Linked DNA regions of Macaca fascicularis. The protein of the gene in region 1 purifies or fractionates together with the protein of each later gene. This does not show direct contact. Links are inferred from orthologs where the notes say so. Each region holds a gene or a part of one and is shown in the gene's direction. Other genes may lie near its edges.

The links.
Region 2: the proteins of SMARCA2 (region 1) and DPF2 purify together in Homo sapiens (affinity purification with mass spectrometry; 6 studies listed by BioGRID and IntAct, counting the BioPlex papers as one, with this or other methods). This does not show direct contact. The link is inferred for Macaca fascicularis from reciprocal best matches to the Homo sapiens genes SMARCA2 and DPF2.
Region 3: the proteins of SMARCA2 (region 1) and BCL7C purify together in Homo sapiens (affinity purification with mass spectrometry; 4 studies listed by BioGRID and IntAct, counting the BioPlex papers as one, with this or other methods). This does not show direct contact. The link is inferred for Macaca fascicularis from reciprocal best matches to the Homo sapiens genes SMARCA2 and BCL7C.
Region 4: the proteins of SMARCA2 (region 1) and BCL7B purify together in Homo sapiens (affinity purification with mass spectrometry; 3 studies listed by BioGRID, with this or other methods). This does not show direct contact. The link is inferred for Macaca fascicularis from reciprocal best matches to the Homo sapiens genes SMARCA2 and BCL7B.
Region 5: the proteins of SMARCA2 (region 1) and SS18 purify together in Homo sapiens (affinity purification with mass spectrometry; 6 studies listed by BioGRID and IntAct, counting the BioPlex papers as one, with this or other methods). This does not show direct contact. The link is inferred for Macaca fascicularis from reciprocal best matches to the Homo sapiens genes SMARCA2 and SS18.

The regions. Positions count from the first base shown.
Region 1 is NC_088389.1:97,177,268-97,182,339, reverse strand, and holds the start of SMARCA2 (probable global transcription activator SNF2L2), read left to right. Parts: upstream 1-1,811; 5' UTR 1,812-1,951; intron 1,952-5,072. UniProt on the Homo sapiens protein: ATPase involved in transcriptional activation and repression of select genes by chromatin remodeling (alteration of DNA-nucleosome topology).
Region 2 is NC_088388.1:9,035,703-9,040,148, reverse strand, and holds part of DPF2 (zinc finger protein ubi-d4), read left to right. Parts: intron 1-3,176; coding exon 3,177-3,337; intron 3,338-3,760; coding exon 3,761-3,868; intron 3,869-4,193; coding exon 4,194-4,357; intron 4,358-4,446. UniProt on the Homo sapiens protein: Plays an active role in transcriptional regulation by binding modified histones H3 and H4. Is a negative regulator of myeloid differentiation of hematopoietic progenitor cells. Might also have a role in the development and maturation of lymphoid cells.
Region 3 is NC_088394.1:29,026,078-29,030,361, reverse strand, and holds the end of BCL7C (B-cell CLL/lymphoma 7 protein family member C), read left to right. Parts: intron 1-2,074; coding exon 2,075-2,428; 3' UTR 2,429-3,458; downstream 3,459-4,284. UniProt on the Homo sapiens protein: May play an anti-apoptotic role.
Region 4 is NC_088377.1:52,421,657-52,426,667, reverse strand, and holds the start of BCL7B (B-cell CLL/lymphoma 7 protein family member B), read left to right. Parts: upstream 1-1,915; 5' UTR 1,916-2,040; coding exon 2,041-2,132; intron 2,133-2,387; exon of another isoform or gene 2,388-2,580; intron 2,581-5,011. UniProt on the Homo sapiens protein: Positive regulator of apoptosis. Plays a role in the Wnt signaling pathway, negatively regulating the expression of Wnt signaling components CTNNB1 and HMGA1.
Region 5 is NC_088392.1:63,738,158-63,742,603, forward strand, and holds part of SS18 (protein SSXT), read left to right. Parts: intron 1-422; coding exon 423-590; intron 591-1,232; coding exon 1,233-1,337; intron 1,338-3,978; coding exon 3,979-4,071; intron 4,072-4,446. UniProt on the Homo sapiens protein: Appears to function synergistically with RBM14 as a transcriptional coactivator. Isoform 1 and isoform 2 function in nuclear receptor coactivation. Isoform 1 and isoform 2 function in general transcriptional coactivation.

The DNA.
Region 1 (5,072 bases):
TCAGTGACAACAAAGGCCCAAGCTGCCATCAGAAGCATCTCCCGGCTTCTTTGAGTGGTCTGAGGCTTTATTCTATAGATACAGGGTTTCATCTAAAAGTCAAGCCAGGTACCAACCAAGTGGCTTCTGCAGCAAGGAAGTGGAGGACAATCTCCTTCTTCATCTGCAGGACAAGGGCTCTTGATATTGTGATGATTTCCCTTTAAGTTTATTCAGGAATCAAGGACCACACCACATGAGCCCTTCAGGCAGTGTGAAAAGGCTTTGATTTGTTTTTATTCACTTAACTTGTACAGTGCTCCCAGCAGGTTTGAGCAAAACCTGAGATTCTTACTGAGGTAGAGGACCAGACAAATCAGTTTGACCTTGGATCATGCACCCTTAGCTTTAATGGTAGAATCTGGTGATAGAGACTAGAAACACCATCACATTCATAAGACCCTATCAGGATTTAACTGTATCTTAGAACCAACCAGAAAAAAATGTTTAATAGAGAATTCTTGCACTGTCCTTAGAGATCCTTGGACCAGAATGCAGAAAGGAGGGCACCATTCTGTGATTTGCCTCTGCAACTGGGGATCAGATCATGTATTTGCTGGAGGAAACAATAACTTGGCAAACTCTCTCTCCTCTCTTTCCATGTGCTAGGCAAGTGATGAAAGAGGAGTGAGGCTGACTTCAGCTCTGTCACAGATGTTGACTCACCACTGGTCTGCCTTCTCTCTCCCTTGCCACTCCCTTCCTTCTGCCAAAGTTAGCATGCTGGATCAGTAGGATGCAAAGCTGCGCATGACCCTTTTTGGGGCTGGACACTGTCATCTGGCCAGATAAACTAACAGGCTAGCAAATCCAGTTGGGGCTGGTTGTACTTTGCCCACGTCTGTTGCAGCATATGGTGCATTCACTTGAAGTGACTGACAGAGCTATTTAACTTTGCAGTTTGTTCGTCTGATGCCCCTACCCAAATACCACACATACTGTCACATATTGGTGAACAGTCTTCAGTGTGGTTGCAATTCATGGCTATCATAAGGGGAATACTTTAAAATTGGATTTGAGCTCCATAGTTCCTAAGATGGCAGAGCTGGACAGAAACATTTGGAGACATACCCTTTAATTGGCCCCATAAATTTATACAGAAAGAAATTGAAGCAGAAAGATTGAGTGACTCCCGCAAGGACTCACACAGCCAGTTAGTATTAGGACTAGAGCTAGAACCTTCGACCCTGACTTCCAACTCAGTGTTTTTTCCAGCTCAGGCTGTTCACATGTTGCCTTTCATTTTATCTCCAAAATTTGGCCCCTTGGAACCTTTCCTGGAATTGGACTTCTGAGCCTAAAGTGGCTTAATGCACACTTTTGGGAAAGGATAGCCAGGAGGCCTCTAAGTGGTTTTGATCAAGTTTGCCAGTATTTACACCCTAGGATGATCTGCATAAACTTCATAAATAATGTAAATTCCTACAAAGTGAGTTAACAGTGAGCTACATGGTCTTTTGAAAAATCCGTGTTATGCAATCACCCTGGCAAAGTTAACAACGCAATAGAGTACTGAAGGTAACCACTGATTGCAGTCACTGCTATTGACCATTTTAAGTGTGACTATTTTTAAAATACTGTATGCCTCATTAAGCTGGGCTCTGAAAATGAGGAATTTGCTTTAACTGCATTGTTTTGAATTGCTGAGAGAAGAATCTATCAACCACAAGGTGCCCTGCTGCTGAACTCAGCCAAAAAGCTGTTAATAACTCCAGCAGATGTTTCAGCTTTTTAGGCCAATAGACTCCCTTTCTCCCTGCCCTCCCCTTTCCAGAATCTGATGCCAATATGACTGAACTCCAGTTTTTGTGGTGGTTGTCGCCACCGCCGCCGCTGCTAGGGCCGGTGATACAATGCCGCTGAGGAATGATCCTTTAAACAACCGGTGGCCACAGAACCTCAGCCCTTTAAGGTCAGAATATTATTGCTTTTACCATCAGAAATTTAAATCTTCAGGGGGGAAATGAAGGTAAGGGCACAAATTCAGTATCTTTGTTTTGTTGTCTGCCTTCATTGCTAGTCATTTTGTTTAGCTTTTTGTGGCTTCTCCCAATGCTAAAAGTGCATTTCTCAGACTCATCAGAGTGCTGGGCTTGCTAAGGTTAAGGGTCATTCATACACTGGAGGCTCCACTGATCCGGGAGAGAGGTTCTTGGGTTAGCAGCTTTACAAAGGGGGCCTCTGCGTGATGCACAGTTTTGTGTGGTTGTATGCCTGATACCGTGTGGCTCAGATGCCCTGACCTTAGCACTTCTGCAATATTAGATGTGAGTTTTATAAACACAGCTACATCCCTGTGAGATAGGTAGAGTATGAGGGCACACAGGGTCACCGCAGTCCCATACCAGGATTTATCAACATCTCTGAACTGGGATAAACCTGACATTGTCACCTGAAATTAAATCTACATTCCAATCTTTCCAAATGAGAAGACGTTAGAAATAAAGGCGGAGGAGAGATCCTGCCCCCTTCCCTGACACTTCCTGCCCTGCCTCCTACTCAATTATTTTGGAGAGGGTGCTTTAACACACCCTGGTGACAACAGGGTGACCAAGAAAACACAGGTGCACCGCATTATGAAATGCTGTGTTGGCTAGGAACACATCTGAACTGCACATCTATACACATCATCATGCAGAGAATTGCCATTTCAAGGGGGGAAAAAATGAGAGGCAGAATTAAGTTCATAAATATTTTGTTTCCTTATTTTGATGCAACACAAAGCCAGAATATCCAGGACTCTGTGGACCTCTATTGTCAGCTTCAACATTTGCCAACCATAGTAATTCAACCCCCAAATCTCTGCTGTATGCCATACTGGCTGTAAAAAGTAAGTGCCTTTTCCCTGGTGTCGCTGCCACCATACTGTTTGCATGCTCTCAGCCCTGTATCATTCTAATTCTCAAGAAAAGCTCAGGAATACAACGCAAGCCCCGCCGCCCCATCACTTTTTTAACTTGGATAAAGAAATAGATTACATTGTGACTTGGTCCACATTCTCTTAAGTACATGTGCAGAGAACTCATTAATGCTAATGGAATTTGCGCATATGCATTGAAGGGAGAATATAGTTGCCCGTGCCTGTGTATTCTTTATTTTCTTACTGTACACTTGAGGGTTCTGTGGCACCTATAGCTTCTAATTCTGAAACATGAGTAATTCAGATTAAAAAGTATACCATTCATTTTGAAATATATTTCAAAAGCAAATGGGATGGATATTTCTGCTTAGATCACTATGATTCCAAGAAGCCAATACCAGATGATGATTCTTTAGTAAAATAAGCAACCAATGTTGTAATAATAAAATACGGTTAAAAAAAAACAGCAAAAACTCGCTACTGAATCAGTAGAAAATATATTCTCATTATTTAAAAAATACCTACAAAATAACCCACATGCATGTCTAGGGGAGTAAAAACACAAGATGATGGGGTAAAAAAGAACTGAAAATAATCATAGGTAATCTGAGACTCCAAGCCTGCCAGCAGTGAATATTGGTGACAGGCATTAACAAACTATGTGGGGATGTCTGAGGCCCAGCTAAATCCAGACCATGTACTTCATTAGGTCTTGAACTTTACCTGGAATCTTGTACTGCAAATGATGATTTCCAAACTGTTTTGTTCTTGATTATTTCCAGTCCAAGTAAAATGGACAATAAAGAAAAGATGCTTCCATGCTGTTTCCATGATGGATGTTCACAACCAAAATAACTTCACCATCTGATGTATTTCACAGTTTTAAGTTAAAACAGACATACTATAATATGCTTGTACATCTGGCTCAGGTGCTTCATTTGCCATATGTTTGTGAAATAATCCAAGGAGATGTTACAATTGTACGTTCCCCTTGGGACTTGAAGAAAATGTGCCCACAAAGAGTTACCTAATTATTCATTCCTGCCAACAACATCCTCTCCTAATAAGAAGGTGGTTCTTAAAATGAGACAATAGTGCTTTCAGTCTTGAGAGATGTCAGTACCACTTATTGTTTCAGAAACAGAAAATCTTATGCATTTTTTAAAATAAGAAAAAGATCTTTGGCCTTTAAAGCAAATAAAATACTCTGCAGGCGGTATATTTGGTATTCTTGTGGGGGCAAATTCTGCAGCGCTGATCAAGGCCTATTATTTCCTGAAACTCATTGAATTAAAGCCCATGAAGCCACATAGAAATTAGTGACCCAAAGTTGATAGTCTCTAAGGAATGGCTGCTCTGGCAATACTATACATTTATGGAGAACTTTGTAATCGGCAAATTGCTTTCATATATGTTACCACATTTAATTCTTATAATAATTTTGTGAAGCAGGTAAAAAAAGGCATCCCTTGTTTAATCATGCCACTTGTAGTACTGATTCTTCACAGCACTAATAAGCAAAATATGAACATCTTTTTTTAAAAAAATTGTAAATTACTTTGGTCTTTACCAATAAATACCACTTGCCATAGCACACATTTCTCTCTTTAAGAGTCATTGACAATCTGCTTTTTTCCCTCTTTTCCTGTTATTTGCATCCTTCTAAACTATGACTTTTTCTGATTCTATTTTAATTAAAAATTTGATTTTCTTTTGAGGATTAAAAAGTAGAGGGAGAATTCGTTTATTGGTTAAAATACAAGCTAACCATCAAAATTCAGATTTTAATGAGGCCCTAAGCCAGGACAGAAGTCAAATGCGTAAAGCATCTTCTAGGCCTAGCTTCATCCATTAATAAATCAATTTGGAAAAATGTGGCAATGATGAAATTATCAGCCAATAAACCTCCAATAGTGTGTTAATTGTATATTGACTGAAGTAACAAATTACATGGGGGTTGAATTTTCACAGGGACTGGAATAAAAGACCCTAAGTAGGCAGATTAAGTTACAGTTTCTTTTCCCCCTGAAACACAAACCTCAGTGTCAAACAGGAAACAAAGGATGAGAGACAGAGGGTAAGAGATTTGCCTCAGGTTACCCAGCTTGCAAATGGGAGTCCATGCCAGATCATCTCCCTCCACAGCGCTGGGAAACAACAGCAACTATTAAAT
Region 2 (4,446 bases), on another chromosome or scaffold:
CGGAGGTTGCAGTGAGCTGATGTCACACCACTGCCCTCCGGCCTGAGTGACACTTTAAGACTCTGTCTTAAAAAAAAGAAAGAGGCGACTGGGCGCGGTGGCTCTGTAATCCCAGCACTTTGGGAGGCCGAGGCGGGCGGATCACAAGGTCAGGAGATTGAGACCATCCTGGCCAGCATGGCGAAACCCCACTCTACTAAAAATACAAAAATTAGCTGGGCGTGGTGGCGTGCGCCTGTAATCCCAGCTACTCGGGATACTGAGGGAGGGGAATCGCTTGAACCCAGGAGGTGGAGGTTGCAGTAAGCCGAGATTGCGCCACTGCACTCCAACCTGGGTGACAGAGCAAGACTCCATCTCAAAAAAAAAAATGAAGCTGGGCCGGTGGCTCACGCCTATAATCCCAGAACTTTGGGAGGCCGAGGTGGGCGGATCATGAGGTCAGGAGTTTGAGACCAGCTTGGCCAACATGGTGAAACCCTGTCTCTACTAAGAATACAAAAATTAACTGGGCATGGTGGCGCACGCCACTCGGGAGCCTGAGGCAAGAGAATCGTTGGAACCCAGGAGGCAGAAGCTGCAGTGAGCCGAGATTGCGCCACTGCACTCCAGCCTGGGCGGCAAAGCAAGACTCTTGTCTCGAAAAGATATATATGTATATATATAGAGAGAGAGAGAGAGAACAGTGTTAATGTTAACTTGACATTTCTTGGTACTGGAGCCTTAAGTTTTTGTTGTTGTTGTTTTGTTTTGTTTTGTTTTAAGAGACAGAGCCTCCCTCTGTCCCCCAGGCTGAAGTGCAGTGGTATAACCTTGGTTTACTGCACCCTCAACTTCCTAGGCTCAAATGATTCCCCTACCTCATCCACCCCAGGGACTACGTGGGACCACAGGCCTGCACCACCAAACCTAGCTGATGGTTTATTTATTTTTAACGTTTTGTAGAGATGGGATCTGACTATGTTGCCCAAGCTGGTCTCTAAGTCTTGGTCTCAAGAGATCCACCGGCCTTGGCCTCCCAAAGTGATGGAGCATGAGCCACTGTGCCCAGCCTCCCTTAAGTTCTTAAGAGCTCACCCTCATCCTGTCCTGTTCTCTCTTCATCAGATTCTCCCCTCACAAACACTTCCATGTTTCATTCCCAGCCCTTGTATCCCCAAGACTGTTTGCTTTACCTTTTGAGATCCCACGTAGCTCACAAGAGCCCTGACAGAACATCTTTCATTCATTCCTCCCAATACTGTTTCCAGCCTCCTTGCTCTGACTTTGCAGCCCTCGCCAGCCTGGCCCTGCCTTCCATTTGACTTCCAGTGTCAGTATCAATTCCCATCAGCAGAAACAAAGGAGCTGCGGCACTCAGCCTTGTTTATCCAGTTTTATTCTGTGTGGTGAAGACGTGGCTGCCTCCTAAAGGCGAGCTCGCAGAGGCGAGGCTGCTTTCTCCATTCTGCTCTCCAACGTGAGATTCGTGCCTACCTCAGATTACAGTCATTACAGCTCATTGAATCATACCAGGCCGTATTTGTGGCGTTGCCATCTCTGTGTGTGCTATATGTCTTTTTTACTTGCTGGGCACATGGTAAGTTATGCAGTGGTCTATCGTGGCTGCTCGCTGAAGGCCCCCATCACATTCCAGATCAGGATTTTTTGGTGTAGCCCGAGTTATGGACAGAAACCACAGAGACTTAATCTGTTTGCTGTTTCATCCCCAGGCTGTTTCTTGTAAAATCCTGATATGTCAAAGCTCATTTGGTCCAACCTCCTCAATCTATAGAAGAATAGCCAAGGTCCACCTGGGTTGACTAAATGTCCATGTTCATGTGGTGACTTGCAGGCCAGCCAGGTCTTTTTACTCTCAAGTCAGGTCTGACTGTATCTCAGACATCTTCGTGAGTATTGGAGATACTATGAGAAAGAAATCAGTTCTGCCTTTGGTTTAAGATTGATTGACACCAGGTACTGTGACACATGCCTCTATTCCCAGATACTTGGGAGGCTAAGGTAGGAGGATCACTTAAGCCAGGAGTTTGTGTCTAGCTTGGGCAACATAGATTGATTGAATATAAATATGAACTGATAGAGTTTGTTTAACCTCCATTACCAAAGTCCTGGTTAAACCCTGCAAGATGAGAACAAGATAGGTTCTACGTACATGCTTCTTAGAACCTGGCACTGTGCAGTTTTCCAGTTTTCCACTTAAAGGTTTACCCTTGATTCAGATTTCAAATTGAGTCTTTTGAGACCAAGGAGATTTTTTCCTATATAATTTTATTTTGTAAGAATAGAGAAGCACCCTAAGATGGGCCTTAGAGCAAACAAGTTTCTTATCAGTGATGGCGCTCAATAAAAACTTCAAGGAACTTCAGGTACTTGTAGATATCTTCCATAAATGTAAAATTAATTAGTTGATTAAAAACCTAGTTCAAAATTCAAAAGCTATAAAAAGGCATATGGAAGGAAATGGCCTAGTCACCCACTTTTTCTCCCTGCTGACCTGCAGTTTCTTTTCCATTTTGTTACATAAATGATAGCTTTCTTTGACACTTCTCAGCAGTGTACCTTGCTTTGCTTTTTGTCCCTAGTTAACTTGAAATTCTTTAATATCAGTATGTGAAGAGCTTCCTTCTTATGGCTAAATAGAATTTCATTGTATGGATTTACTAGTTTGCTGAATACATTTTAATAAGCCCCCTAGACCTTGAACTCTTTCCCTCTGGAGCAGACCTTGGGGCAAGGATGTGGGAGCATGTAGTTTATTTGGGAGGTGATTCTAGGAAGGAGGAAATAAGGAGGAACTTAGGGGGGACTATTGTTTGCTTCTCAGCGTCATAAGGGTTAAGAGAAACAACATCTTAACTAGCACAGGGCTGGGCTTGTGAGACACATGGAGTGAACATTAGTTCCTTACCCTCTTTGGGGGTTAGACTTAAGTCTGATTAGACATATGATGAAATCATGTGTTCCTGATAGTAATTTATTCGTAAAGTAATTCCTAATGGTGGCCTAGAAAAGGGGCTTGGTGTCCCGTGAGGCAGAAGTGGAGGCAAATAGAATGGAAGAGACAGCCTCCCAGTCCCTTGAGCCTTCTAGAGAAGCAGATGACAGGGGAGAGGAATAGCTCAGCACCCTATGCTCCTCACTCCAACACACACGCCTGGTTTCTATCTTCTCTGCAGCCTTGGGGAGCAGTACTACAAAGATGCCATGGAGCAGTGCCACAATTACAACGCTCGCCTCTGTGCTGAGCGCAGCGTGCGCCTGCCTTTCTTGGACTCACAGACCGGAGTAGCCCAGAGCAATTGTTACATCTGGATGGAAAAGCGACACCGGGGTCCAGGTGAGGGTCCAGACTTGGGAGAAGGGGACTCAGGAGCATAAGGAGGAAGAAGCCTCCTCATCTTAGGTGATGAGACAGTTGATAGGGTTTTCCCTACTGCCTTCCACCTATGGATGAATATGGTCTTCCTGTGGTTAGAAACGCAGGGAGGATGAAGCAGATAGGTTGATACCAGCATCTTTGTTTTCTACCCTGCTGAGGCCATTGTGTGTCTGGAGAACTATGTATTAGCCAAGGCCCCTAAGCTTATATATCTATTTTTCTTTTCCACAGACTGTTCCATCTAACCCCCTAGGCCCTCACTGTCAGAATTCCTCCCTTGCTCTAGAACTCAAAAGGGGGAGACTACGTAATTAGAAAGTGTTTGGTATTATTTTCTAATACTGGGTTAGGGCCTGACTTCTATCTTTCTTCCTGCCGTAGGATTGGCCTCTGGACAGCTGTACTCCTACCCTGCCCGGCGCTGGCGGAAAAAGCGGCGAGCCCATCCGCCTGAGGATCCACGACTTTCCTTCCCATCTATTAAGCCAGGTAAGGCACATACTTCCTGCGCAGAGGCGTGGCCTGCTGCATGGTTAGAGCCTGCTAATCACTACGATATACCAGGCCCAGTACTAGATCCCAAATATACTCAAGTGAATATGATGTGATTCTTTCCTTTAAAGAGCTTAGTCTAGAAGGGGAGACAGGTAAACAGATAAGTTATGGTGCCAAGTGAACTAGGGTGTCTTAATTCCTGGGCATCCGGGGAACAAAAGACAGTGACAGACCTTTGGTAAGCCCTAGCATTATGTGGACTCAGAGCAGTCTGCTTTCAGCCATTCTGAGCTTTGCTTCATCCTGATCTTGCTTGCAGACACAGACCAAACCCTGAAGAAGGAGGGGCTGATCTCTCAGGATGGCAGTAGTTTAGAGGCTCTGTTGCGCACTGACCCCCTGGAGAAGCGAGGCGCCCCGGATCCCCGAGTTGATGATGACAGCCTGGGCGAGTTTCCTGTGACCAACAGTCGAGCGCGAAAGGTACAAGATTATCCCTGTGGCTAAGGGAGCTTTGATGGAAATCAGCCTCCTCTTCACTGGGGCCATGCAGTTTCTAGAACTGAAACAGA
Region 3 (4,284 bases), on another chromosome or scaffold:
ATGGCCAGTGTACTATAGGAGCGGTAAGAAGTCATGGAGGACCTAGCTCCTCTTCCAAGATGCAATCCTGAATTGTTTTGCCAGAGAAATGCAGAAATACTGTTTGGAGGATAATATATTTTTCAAGATTTTGCTTATTGTTTATAAGGCTCCCGTACATCCTCCTTTTACTGGTGATATTCATCCCAATATCTAGGTGGTGTTTTCCCCTCCAAACACCACCTCTTTGCTTCAACCAATGGATCATGGAGGTATAGCAGCTTTTAAGGCCTATTACCTGAGGAGACCTTTGCCCAGGTGATTGCTGCAGCTGAGGAAGACACTGAGCAGACACTGAGACAATTCTGGAAGGATTACAACACATCTGTGACTGCATCAAGAACCCTGCTTAGACTTGGGGTGATGTCACCATGCGGTATGAATGCCATCTGGAGGAAGACGGTCAAAAGGTTGGTCCATGACTTCAAAGTATTTGTCAAGGATGAGGAGGTTTCAAAAATCAATAAAGCTGTGGTTGAGGTGGCAAATAATTTTAACCTGGGTGTGGATGAGGATGACACGGTAGAGTGCTTAGAGGTAATTCCTGAGGAATTGACTAACGAGGAGCTGTTGGAACTGGAACAGGAACACATAGCTGAAGAAGAGGCAAGAGAAAAAAAAAACTGCAGGAGAAGAAAAACCCAGAAGAAAATTCACAGTGAAGGGTTTAGCAGAAGCTGCTGCAGACCTCAACAAACTCCTTAAAACGTTGAAAACATGGACCCCCACACTGAATGGTTTTCATTAATAGAGAGATATGCTTGTGGTGCATTATCTGTTTACAAGCAAATGTATGATTAAAATAAAAGAAAGAAACCAAGCAAACCACTATGGACATTTTTTGAAAGAGTGATAGTCCCTCAAGAAGAGCCTCAGGCAGGTCCTACAGGAGGAATTCCAGAAGAATGTGTTATCATAGGAGATAACAGCTCCATGCGTGTTACTGCCTCTGAAGACCTTCCAGAGGGGCATGATGTGGAGGTGGAAGACAGTGATCTCGATGATCTTGACCTAGTGTAGGCCTAGGCTGATGTGTGTGTGTGTGTATATGTGTCTTAGTTATTAACAAAAAAGTTTAAAATATTGAAAAATATACTTTTTAAAATAGAAAAAGTTGGCCAGGCGTGGTGGCTCACGCCTGTAATCCCAGCACTTTGGGAGGCCGAGACGGGTGGATCACCTGAGGTCAGGAGTTTGAGACCAGCCTGACCAACATGGAGAAACCCCATCTCTACTAAAAAAAATACAAAATTAGCCAGGCGTGGTGGCGCACGCCTGTAATCCCAGTTACTCGGGAGGCAGAGACAGGAGAATCGCTTGAACACAGGAGGCGGAGGTTGCGGTGAGCCGAGATCATGCCATTGCTCTCCAGCCTGGGCAACAAGAGCAAGACTCCGTCTCAAAAAATAAATAAATTAAATAAAATAGAAAAAGCTTCTAGAATAAGGATATAAAGAAGGGAAATATTTTTGTACAGCTGTACAATGTGTACTTTAAGTGTAATAACATTTATTAATAAGTTTATTGACAAAAGAGTCAGTAAGTTTAAAAAATTAAAAAGTTTGGGTGTGTGAGGTGGCTCACACCTGTAATTTCAGCACTTTGGGAAGCTGAGGCGGGTGAATCACCTGAGGTCAGGAGTTCGAGACCAGCCTGACTAATATGGTGAAACCCCGTCTCTACTAAAAATACAAAAATTAGCCAGCCGTGTTGGCATGCGCCTGTAATCCCAGCTACTTGGGAGGCTGAGGCAGGAGAATCGCTTGAACCCGGGAGGCGGAGGTTGCCATGAGTCGAGATCACGACACTGCACTCCAGGCTGAGCGACAAAGCGGGACTCCATCTCACCAAAAAAAAAAAAAAAAAAATGTATAAAGTTACTAGGTGAGTGCAAAAGTAATTGTTGGAATTTGCCATTTGATTTTGGAATACATTCTTAAATAAATGTGGTTATGTTATACATCATTTTAATGGGCATTTCTCACTTTATTTTTTTAATGACTTATTACTGCTGTTTATTTTACATTTATTTTAGACTATGGAAATGATGTTAGACAAAAAGCAAATTCAAGCAATTTTCTTATTCAAGTTAAAAATGGGTCATAAAGCAACAGAGATACATCGCAACATCAACAACACATTTGGCCCAGGAACTGCTAACAAACATACAGTACAGTGGTGGTTCAAGCAGTTTTGCAAAGAAGATGAGAGCCTTGAAGATGAGGAACATAACATCCGGCCATCGGAAATTGACAATGACCAACTGAAAGCAATCATTGAAGCTGATCCTCTTAAAACTACACGGGAAGTTGCCCAAGAACTCAACCATCGACCATTCTATGGCCATTTGGCGTTTGAAGCAAATTGGAAAGGTGAAAAAGCTCAATAAGTGGGTGCCTCATGACCTTACCAAATATTTTTTAAAAAGTCATTTTGAAGTGTCTTCTTCTCTTATTCTATGCAACAACAATGAACCATTTCTTGATCAGATTGTGACGTGCGACAAAAAGTCGATTTTATATGACAACCGGCAACAACCAGCTCTATGAGTGTACTGAGAAGTAGCTCTAAAGCACTTCCCAAAGCCAACCTTGCACCAAAAAAAGGTCACAGTAACTGTTTGGTGGTCTGCTGCTGGTCTGATCCACTGCAGCTTTCTGAATCCCAGTGAAACCATTACATCTGAGAAGTATGCTCAGCAAATGGATGAGATGCACGGAAAACTGCAAGGCCTGCTGTGGCATTGCTCACCAGAAAGGGCCCAGTTATTCTCCATGACAGCAACCACACATCGCATAACCAACGCTTCAAAAGTTGAGGTTGGGTACGGTGGCTCACGCCTGTAATCCCAACATTTTGGGAGGCCAAGGTGGACAGATCACTTGAGGTCAGGAGTTCGAGAACAGCCTGGCCAACATGGTGAAACCCGTCTCTACTAAAAATACAAAAATTAACTGGGTATGATAGCTGGCGCATGTAATCCCAGCTACTCGAGAGGCTGAGGCAAGAGAACTGCTTAAACCCAGAAGGTGGAGGTTGTGGTGGCTCATGCCACTGCACTCCAGCCTGGGTGACAGAGCGAGACTCTGTCTCAAAAAAAAAAAAAAAAAAAAAAAAAGTTGAACAAATGGAGCTATGAAGTTTTGCTTCATCCACCATATTCACCTGACCTCTTGCCTACTGACTACCACTTCTTCACGCATCCCAACGGTTTTTTGCAAGGAAAACGCTTCCACACCCAGCACGATGCAGAAAATGCTTTCCAAGAGTTTTCTGAATCCCAAAGCACAGATTATTACGATACAGGAATAAACAAACTTATTTCTCACTGGAAAAAATGTGTTGATTGTAAAAATGTGTTGATTGGAATGGTTGATTGTAATGGTATGAATTTTGATTAATAAAGATGTGTTTGAGCCTAGTTATAATGATTTAAAATTCATGGTCCGAAACCGCAATTACATTTGCACCAAGAGTTGCAGTTAGCTAAAATTAATTTATTACTGCAGAAAAAATCTTCTTTGTAAATTTAATGTAGCCTATATATACAGCATTCATAAAGCCTACAATGGTGTACCATAATGTTCTAGGACTTCACATTCGCTCCCTACTGACTTACTAACTCATCTAGGGCCACTTCCAGTCCTGCAGGCTCCATTCTGGTAAGTGCCCTAGGTACTTACCATGGCATACCGTGGTATACCAGCGTGGCATGCCATTTTATCTTTTACGCTGTATTTTTACTGTACCTTTTCTGTGTTTAAATACACAAATACTTACCATCGTGTTACAAAATTATATATGTCACCTATAGTATTCAGGACAGTAACATGCTGTACAGATCTGTAGCCTAGGAGCAATAGTCTATATGATACAGTCTAGATTTGTAGTAGCAGGTTATACCATCTAGGTTTGTGTGACTACACTCCATGATGTCTGCACAATGACAAAATCGCCCATGACCCATTTCTCAGAATGTTTCCCCATCCTTAAGCAACACATGACTGTATATGGTGCCTTTATACTCAGAGATAGTTTGTAAGTAAAAGGATGTAACAAGATATGCCATGCAAAAGTAACTATAAGAGATGTGTTTGCTGGGTGTGGTGGCTCATGCCTGTAATCCCAGCACTTTGGAAGGCATATTTCTCTTTTTTCTTTTCTTTTTTTTTTTTTTTTTTGAGACGGAGTCTCGCTCAGTCACCCAGGCTGGAGTGACTCACTCCAGCCTGGTCACTGCAAGCT
Region 4 (5,011 bases), on another chromosome or scaffold:
TAGCTAATTCTGTATTTTTAGTAGAGATGGGGTTTCGCCATGTTGGACAGGCTGGTCTCAAACTCCTGACCTCAAATGATCCACCCACCATGGCCTCCCAAAGTGCTGGGATTACAGGTGTGAGCCACCGTGCCCAGCCTAGGCTAGCATTTATCAAATAGCATTTTAAATATGATTTGGGAAGCTGGACCCAGTGACTCATGTCTGCAATCCCAGCACTGTGGGAGGCCGAGAAAGGAGGATCAATTGAGTCCAGGAGTTCAAGACCACCAACCTGGGCAACAAAGGGAGACCCTGTCTCTACAAAAAAAAAAAAAAAAAAAGGGCAGCCAGGCATGGTGGCCCTCACCTGTGGTCTTAGCTACACAGGAGGCTGAGGCAGAAGGATCACTTAAGCAAGGCCCTGTACCAAAAAATAAGTAAAAGTAAAAAATAAATGGTTATTTTTGTTGTTGTTTGGTCTGAATGTTCTACTAAACTGGAAGCTCAGCTAGTCATGGTGGCTCATGCGTGTAATCCCAACACTTCGGGAGGATCCCTTGAGACCAGGAGTTTGAGACCAGCCTGGACAACATAGTGAGATCCCATCTCCACATGAATAAATAAACTGGGCCGGGTGCGGTGGCTCACGCCTGTAATCCCAGCACTTTGGGAGGCCGAGGCAGGTGGATCACGAGGTCAGGAGTTCAAGATCAGCCTAACCAACATGGTGAAACCCCATCTCTAGTAAAAATACAAAAAAATTAGCCGGGTGTGATGGCGGGCGACTATAGTCTCAGCTACTCGGGAGGCTGAGACGCAGAATTGCTTGAACCCGGGAGGTAGAGGTTGTAGTGAGTCGAGATCACACCACTACACTCCAGCCTGGGCAACAGAGTGAGACTCCATCTCAGAAAAAAAAAAAAAAGACAGGCGCGGTGGCTCACGCCTGTAATCTCAGCACTTTGGGAGGCCAAGGCGGGCAGATCACGAGGTCAGGAGTTCGAGACCAGCCTGACCAACATGGTAAAACCCCGTCTCTACTAAAAATACAAAAATTAGCTGGGCGTGGTGGTGCGTGCCTGTAATCCCAGCTACTCTGGAGGCTGAGGCAGGAGAATCACTTGAACCCAGGAGGCGGAGGTTGCAGTGAGCTGAGATCATGCCACTGCACTCCAGCCTGAGCCACAGAGCGAGACTCCGTCTCAATAAATAAACTGGAAGTTGTTTGAAACCAAAACCACGTATGTCTTCAGTTTTTGGTACAGAGTCCTGCACAAAATAGGCATCTTTTATTTATTTTAGAGATGGGGTCTCCATATGTTGCCCAGGCTGGAGTGCAGTGGCTATTCACAGGTGCGATCATATCACAGCTGACTGCAGCCTCAAATTCCTGGGCTCAAGTGATCCTCCTGCTTCAGCCTCCCGAATACTTGAGACTACTAGATACTCGAGAAAAGGCAAGAATGTGGTCTGAATGTTGGGAAAGCAGTTCATCTGGTGAAGAGAGGAGAGGATTCCAGGTGAGGAACAGGTATGTGCAAAGGCCAGAAGGCATCCTGAAGAAACGCGAAGAAAGGCGTGGTTGGAGCACAGCGGCAGAGCCAGAGGGCAAAGGTGCTGGACAGGAGAGGCGGGAGGACAGAGACAGCGCAGGAGCGCGGTTCCACAGGGTCAGGTCCCTAACACGCTGGCCAGAGCAGGGAGCCGACCTCCAAACTCCCAGGGAAAAGAATCAGTTGCCCACCGGCAGCACCTCACACCTCGCCCTGACTACAGCACGTGCGCCCGGCCCGCCTCGCACCCCGGCCCGGGTGGGGGCTCAGGGGACTCCCGGGGCGCTCAGGAGGGACGCCCCGGGCGGGGCGCGCAGGCGCGCTGAGGCCGCGAGCCCCAAGGGGCGGGCGGGTGCGCGCGCTTCCTCGCGCACGCGCGCACAGAGGGGGCGACGGCCGCGGTGACGCTGCGGCGGCGGCGGCGGCGGGCGGGCGGCGGCGCGAGGCGCGCGATACCCGGTGTCTTGGGAGCAGTGCCCTGGCCCCCGCCGCTCCCGCCGCCGCCATGTCGGGCCGGTCGGTCCGGGCGGAGACCCGCAGCCGGGCCAAAGACGACATCAAGAAGGTGATGGCGGCCATCGAGAAAGTGCGGAAATGGTGAGGGGCCGGAGGTTAGGGGGCTGGCGGGGGTCGCGGGTCCAGGCCCTGAGGAGCGCGGGACTGGCGAGTCGGGTGGGAGCCGACCGGCCGGCGCTGGGGGAGGGGGACGCGGGAGAAGGCGGGAGGAGGGCGCCGCTGGCGTCGGCGTGAGGTCAGAGGGCGCGCCGGCCGCGGCCAATCAGCGGGCCGCCCAGTTCGCGGGCCCGCCCACCTGCTGCGGCTGCGGTCGCGCGCTGCCCGGGAGGGGATGCCGGCTTCCGGCCCGTGCTGGGGCCGCCTGGCCTCGGTGTCGCCGCGCCCGGCCCAGCCGGGGGCCCGCCCTCCACTCTTCCTGGGTTTTGGCCCCGCCTGCGTTTCCAAGCTGGCCCTTGATAATAGCGAGTATCCCTGGAGTGATTTCAACCCGCCAGGCTGAGAGCTCTGCGTATTCAGGCATTGAAGTTGGGTGAGTTTATGGGTTTGTCTGTTAAGGGAGGAAGCCTGGTGTCATCCAAAGGAAAACCCCTCACTTTCCCCCAGAACCCGGCCCCTGCGCCGCGAGCTTGGTAGGCATTTTCTCTTGCTGCCCTGACGGCTGTCAGGAGAGTCCTTTGCAAACTATGTACCAGCCTCCCTTTAATTTCTCTGGTTCTGCTCTTGCTCATTACCCAGCCCGTTCATCGTCTGCACTGAGTGATTTTATTTTTCTCACTTCCAAGTAGCAGTGGTCTTTTTAAAGTGCACGTCCTTACTTGGGAGGCTGTGGTGGGAGGATTGCTGGGACCCAGGAGTTGGAGGCTGCAGTGAGCTATGATCGTGCCACGGCACTCCAGCCTGGGCTACGGCGAGAGACCCCATGTCTAAAATGTGCATGGAAGACGCCGGTTGAGCACGTATTTTGTATCCAGATCTCCGATACACACTGTGTCGGTGTGTATCAGAGTCATCACGTTAAACTTTCATAGCCAACTTTGTCAAGTTTTTTGTATAGCCAATTACTACCCATTATTAAAAACCCAAGTATGGCTAGGTGAGGTGGCTCAGGCATGTAATCCCAGTACTTCGGGAGGCTGAGGCGGGCGGATCGCTTGAGGCCAGGAGTTTGAGACCAGCCTGGGCAACATAGTGAGACCCGGTCTCTACAAAAACTAAAAGTTCAAGTAGATATTACCTCCCGCCAGGAAGCCTTCCTTAACGTCTCCCACCCCTCACCCTTTACTCCCTTTAAGATCATTGGTACATTGACCTTTATTTGTGTGTTTATCTGTCCATTTCCACACAAGAGGGAAGTTCCTTCTCTTTCTATGTCTGAGGGCTTCATATATAGTTGGGTTTCCGTATAAATAGTTTAATTTATTCATGGTTTTCCTCGTCCACCTTTAATCCTCCAAGATTTTGGTGAAACCTGAGAACAGGCACACCCTTCTCTTCTCCCCATTTTTGACCCCCCGCCCCTAGCAGGCTAGGCTCAAGGGCCGTCCTCTGTCACCTGGAACTCTGTACCAGCCTCTTCTCTCTCTGCTGCTCTTGCTCATTCCCCAATCTGTTCATTGTCACCGAGTGATTTTATTTTTCTCTCTTCCGAGTTACAGAGTGATCTTAAAGTGCACAGCTTTATTTGGGAGGCTGTGGTGGGAGGATCGCTGGAGCCCAGGAGTTGAGGCCGCAGTGAACTATGGTCATACCATGGCACTCCATCCTGGGCAACAGAGCGAGACCCCATCTGTAAAAAATATATAAAATGTGCATCTTATGCTAGCACCCCTAGTAATGCTTCAGTGGTTCCATTCTTGCTTTTAGGATAAATACCGAAGAAGGCCTTCCTTCCTGCCTCACTTGGCTGGCTCTTTCCCAGGATGCCCACCGTCTTTCCAGTGAAGTCACTCTGCTCTTCCTGCCGCCTGGCATTCTTCTTCCTCTCTTTTCTCCTCCCTCTTGCTGAGTTAACTCCTAGCGCAGCTCAAAAGTTGCTTCCTTAGGTTCACCACTTGAGATTCCCAATCTAGATCAAGTCCCCTTCACAGAACTTTCCACGATTGTATTAGATGGACTCATAAGACATTTCTTATATTTGACTTCTGTTTTGTTTTTCTTTTTAGACAGAGTCTTGCTGTGTCACCCAGGTTGGAGTGCAGTGGTGCAATCTTGGCTCACTGCAACCTCTGCTTCCCAGGTTCAAGCAATTCTGCCTCAGCCTTCTGAGTAGCTGATTGCAAGTGTACACCACCACACCCAGCTAATTTTTGTATTTTTGTAGAGACTGGGTTTCACCATGTTGGCCAGGCTGGTCTTGAACTCCTGACTTCAAGTGGTCCTCCCACCTCGACCTCCCAAAGTGCTGGGATTACAGATGTGAGCCACTGCATCTGGTCTCCTGTATTTGGCTAATTAACCTACAAAAATGGCAATTTGATATGGTTAAACCTAATAATTAAGTGACTAATCCTGAATTGAGCTATTCATGTCTGTTTCCAGATATAAGACAGGGTCTGTGAGGGCAGGGACCATGGATCTTGTTCTCTGCATCGCCAGGTCCTAGCACAGCCTGTTGTAGACTAATTGGTTGAATAAATGAGAAAATGGAGTGGTCTGTTCAGGAATTCTAGTTATTTTCTAAGACTTTAATTCATTCCTTCTGTTACATCACAGTCTTTTTACACTCCCAGTATGTCTTTTTTTTTTTTTTTTTTTGAGACCCAGTGTTGCTCTGTTGCCCAGGCTAGAGTACAGTGGTGTGATCTTGACTCACTGCAGCCTCCGCCTCTGGGGTTCAAGCAATTCTTTCGCCTCAGCCTCCTGAGTAGTCGGGATTACAGGTGTGTGCCACCATGCCCGGCTAATTTTTGTATTTTTAGTGAGGACAGGATTTTACCATGTTGCCCAGGCTGGTCTCGAAC
Region 5 (4,446 bases), on another chromosome or scaffold:
GCCATTCTCCTGCTTCAGCCTCCCAAGTAGCTGGGACTACAGGCGCCTGCCACTGCGCCCGGCTAATTTTTTGTATTTTTAGTAGAGACTGGGTTTCACCGTGTTAGCCAGGATGGTCTCGATCTCCTGACCTCGTGATCCGCCCTCCTCGGCCTCCCAAAGTGCTGGGATTACAGGCGTGAACCACCGTGCCCGGCCGGATTTCAAGTTAACCACCATGGACTGGTTATTTTATTTTGTTTGCAGATTATTTTAGGCATGTGAGTTTTAATTCAAAGACTTATTTTTATTATTTGAAATCAGTTTTTACTGCATTTCATTATATATTTTGGGGACTATATGATAAAAGATTATCTTATTTCTCTTGAGATGTTAAAGTTATATACAAAAAATTATGTATATAATGTTGTGTCTTGTTTCAGGTCCAATGATGCATCAGCAGCCTCCTTCTCAGCAATACAATATGCCACAGGGAGGCGGACAGCATTACCAAGGACAGCAGCCACCCATGGGAATGATGGGTCAAGTTAATCAAGGCAATCATATGATGGGTCAGAGACAGATTCCTCCCTATAGACCTCCTCAACAGGGTGAGATTCCATTTGGAAAATTTGCTACCTCATGTAATTGAAAGGCTGTACATTTTAATGACCTTTTAATCTAGACAAAGTCAGGACTTTTTGTTTCGTTTTTCTTCTTTTTTTTGTTTTTTTAACAAATGATAGGGTTCTACTAGGTACAAAGCTGTCACAAAGTAGATAAGAACTTCTTGATACACAGCTTTCTTTTTATCTATTATTTTCTGGAAAAAGTTATATCATAAAATTATGTATCAAAAGCTCACTAATTTACAACAGAAAATACTGTTTTGTTTTTGAAAAATTATTAAATAAAGGATCAGGAATAAACCCAATTTTACCTCACAGCAAAGGAAATACATTTGCTACCAGTTTGAACCTATTTTTAAGAAGTTAGCGTTTGTTTTTCTGAGTTGGTGTTTTTTGATATTGCATGTATGGTCTTAACATTGATTTTAGTAAATGTGGTATGTGGAGCTGCTCTGTGTGTATCTGTATGCGTATGTATATGAATAGCTAAAGGTATCTGAAATGCAGGTATCAGGAGACAGGAATCTATAGTTGAGAAATAATCTTTCATATCAAATTAGAAAGAAAGCCTTTGATGACATAGAGAATACATTATTTATTTCTTGACTGGTTGTCATTTTTCAGGCCCACCACAGCAGTACTCAGGCCAGGAAGACTATTATGGGGACCAATACAGTCATGGTGGACAAGGTCCTCCAGAAGGCATGAACCAGCAGTATTACCCTGATGGTAATCTCTCCTGATGTTAACTTTCCCACTTTCTATCTCTGCCTAGTATTCATGTAGAGAGTTATATAAAAACATTTTAATGAGGATGAAGAAGCTAACAATTTGTTTCTTCTAAATTTAGAAACACTTCAGTACTCTAAAGTACCAATGATAGCATTAGTTTATAATCTAATTCAAAGTGTATTTTGTGTAGCTGTTCCATTAGTACCATCAGGAATCACAGTCTGTCATTGGAATCCTTATATAAAAGAGGATCCTTTTGTAATATATTTAGGGTTGTTTGATTTCAGCAAAAGCTTGTGTTTATTGATTTACTCTTTTTTTAATAAGAGCTTCATTAAGATATAATTCACATAACATAAAGTTCACCCTTAGTTGACTTGTATTCATTGTACAAATACATAGAGAATATAGTTCTTGAGTTATTTTTCCAAGTCTCATCATTTTAATTAATGTTTCATACTTCTCAACAAACTAAGGTTTACATTAGTGCTTGCCTTTGAGAAAAACTTGGGAGACCAAATTATATCCATAATATAGCCGTGTAGAGATTGAGTAGAATGGGACAGGCATTTGGAAATAAGGTTTTTAGTTAGGGTTTTTTGTTTTTTGTAGAAGGTGGCTTGTGAAAAATTGGTTAGTAAGATGCACAGTACTTTAGGAAAATTTGAATAGCAATAATCCAAGCATACAAGTAGGTTTTCACAGTATAGTTTCATCCATTTTTCTGTATGCTTGGAAATTTTGTAATACAATGTAGAAGAAAAAAGTAATTCAAAAATACATTACAAAATGGTATGGGTTGTTAGGATTTGCCAAAAGCCTTGTTCACATATATGATCCTTTGATGTAAATATAAATTACTGAACAGAGAAACTAAGAAACTTAAAGCTAAAGTACTAGCAGACATTGACTAGCAGCCCATGTAAGCTAGCAAGAAGGTATAATTTAGGATATTTGAAAAAAATCTCGCCTGTCATTTTTTATTAATACATAAAGCATAAAGGTACATTTGTACTTAAGGACGTTGGTTTTTGTTTTGTTTTGTTTTTCTTTTCATATGTAAACATGGTATTAAGATTTTTTTAAAATTAAAAACTTTAGTAAGGTTGTAAGCTATACATATTTTAAAGATGTGAAATCTTTGTTAAATTATATGTATTGAGAAGTTGGCTGAAAATAAATGATTGTTTCTATGTTTTTAAATTTTAATTACATTTTAAAGAGTTAAACTTGACATTGTTATTTTGATCCTGGCTGTCTCTTGAAATGTGAAATTTGTTTTGTTATAGTATAACCTTTCTGTTCAAAATATACTGGTTTGTTATTTTGTGAATATCAAAACGTTAAGGTTACTTTCTTTCATTTTATTAGTGGATTTTAATTTGAAGGGTATCATTTTTGCATAGGTGTGTATTACTTTATATCTGACATTTACATAGAGTATTCTATTTATATCGACAATTAATATTTGTAAACAACATTGGCTCTTTTCTCTCATGTCCGGATATTTATGTTAGTAAATATATAGATTAGGAATTGGCAAACTTTTTCTGTAAAGGGCCAGATAATAAATACTTTAGTCTTTGTGGGCCATATGGTCTTGGTCTCAACTACTGAACTCTTATTGTAGCATGAAAGCAGCTGTGGACAATACTGAAATGAATGGGCATGACTGTATTCCAATAAAATTTTATTTACAAAAACATGCCACTGGCCATATTAAGACTGTAGGCCATAGTTTGCCAACCCTTCATGTAGCTATTTATGAGGTGGCTTGGGAACATTAGAATACTAGAGCACTGAATAATGTTTATTTGTAATTTTTATTCCTGTGTCCTTAATTAGGCATTTTTGTAAAATTGAGTTTAGATTTTAGATAACTAAAAGGTTATTTCCTACATTTTCTTAGTGAAACTTAAAAAGAGAGTGAGACTATTATTTTTCACTAGAGTCCAATTATCTCGAAGGTAAAATTTATTGTGCTTTAAAACTGAAGATATACTCTCAACACAATATTAATTTTATGAAGATGTATGTTTATGATACTTGAAATATTTTCTAAAGATTTCCAAAATGGCAGCATTAAGATATATAATTTTGTATCTGAAGATACTTTGAGATACTTAAGTTTATGCAAGTAAATGTTAGAACATGAAAATTTTTCAGTTTCTTTCAGGGGAGAAACTTATGGAGCTCTTTTATATTTTGCATTGTTTTTAGCATATGCTGTGGAATTGGAGACCAGCAGAACAGGTGTTTGACAAAATATGATAATTACTTCCTTTGTTCATTCTAATTTAATTTAGGTTATTTACATGTGAAAGACCTAGATACTTTTATTCTCTTTTTTTAAAATGGGAGATAGTTTTTTTTTTTTTCCCTCAATGAGGATTATCAGATTTAAAACAATAAGTGTAATGTTTCTAAAACTACTGCTTTTTGCTTTTAAAAAAATTGCACGTTATCTCAATATGAAAACAATCACATTGGTAAATCTTTGGCTAATGCAATTGAAATTATTTTTTATGTTCCATTTCTTTTCCTTTTTTTTCAATTTTATCTGAAAGTTTAAATATTTTTAGGGTTTTCACTCAGTGGCCATTAACGTTTCTTCCTGTCTCTTGTCGAATTGATGTAGGTCATAATGATTACGGTTATCAGCAACCGTCGTATCCTGAACAAGGCTACGATAGGCCTTATGAGGATTCCTCACAACATTACTACGAAGGAGGTATCTATATACCTTCACACACATACACATATATATCCCCTTCTACAGGAATGAAAATTCTTGCATAAGACAACTTCTACCCATGCAAAGCTCTTGTAGAATACTAGTTGCTGGCTGTCTTGAAAGGTGCAGGGAGCCCAAAACAATCAAAATAATTTCCTTACAAATATTTAAAATGTATAACCATGACTTGCCATTTCTAACATTAATAAAAAGACTAAAACATTAAAGATAATTTTTTCCTCAGTGGAAATTTTCTATTTGAACATAAATCCATCCAACTTTTTTTTCTCGTGTGTGTTTACATATGTATAATTTTACATATAAGTATAGTGCCTTTAGGAAACAGCTTGCTGATCTCGTGTAGCTAGTGTG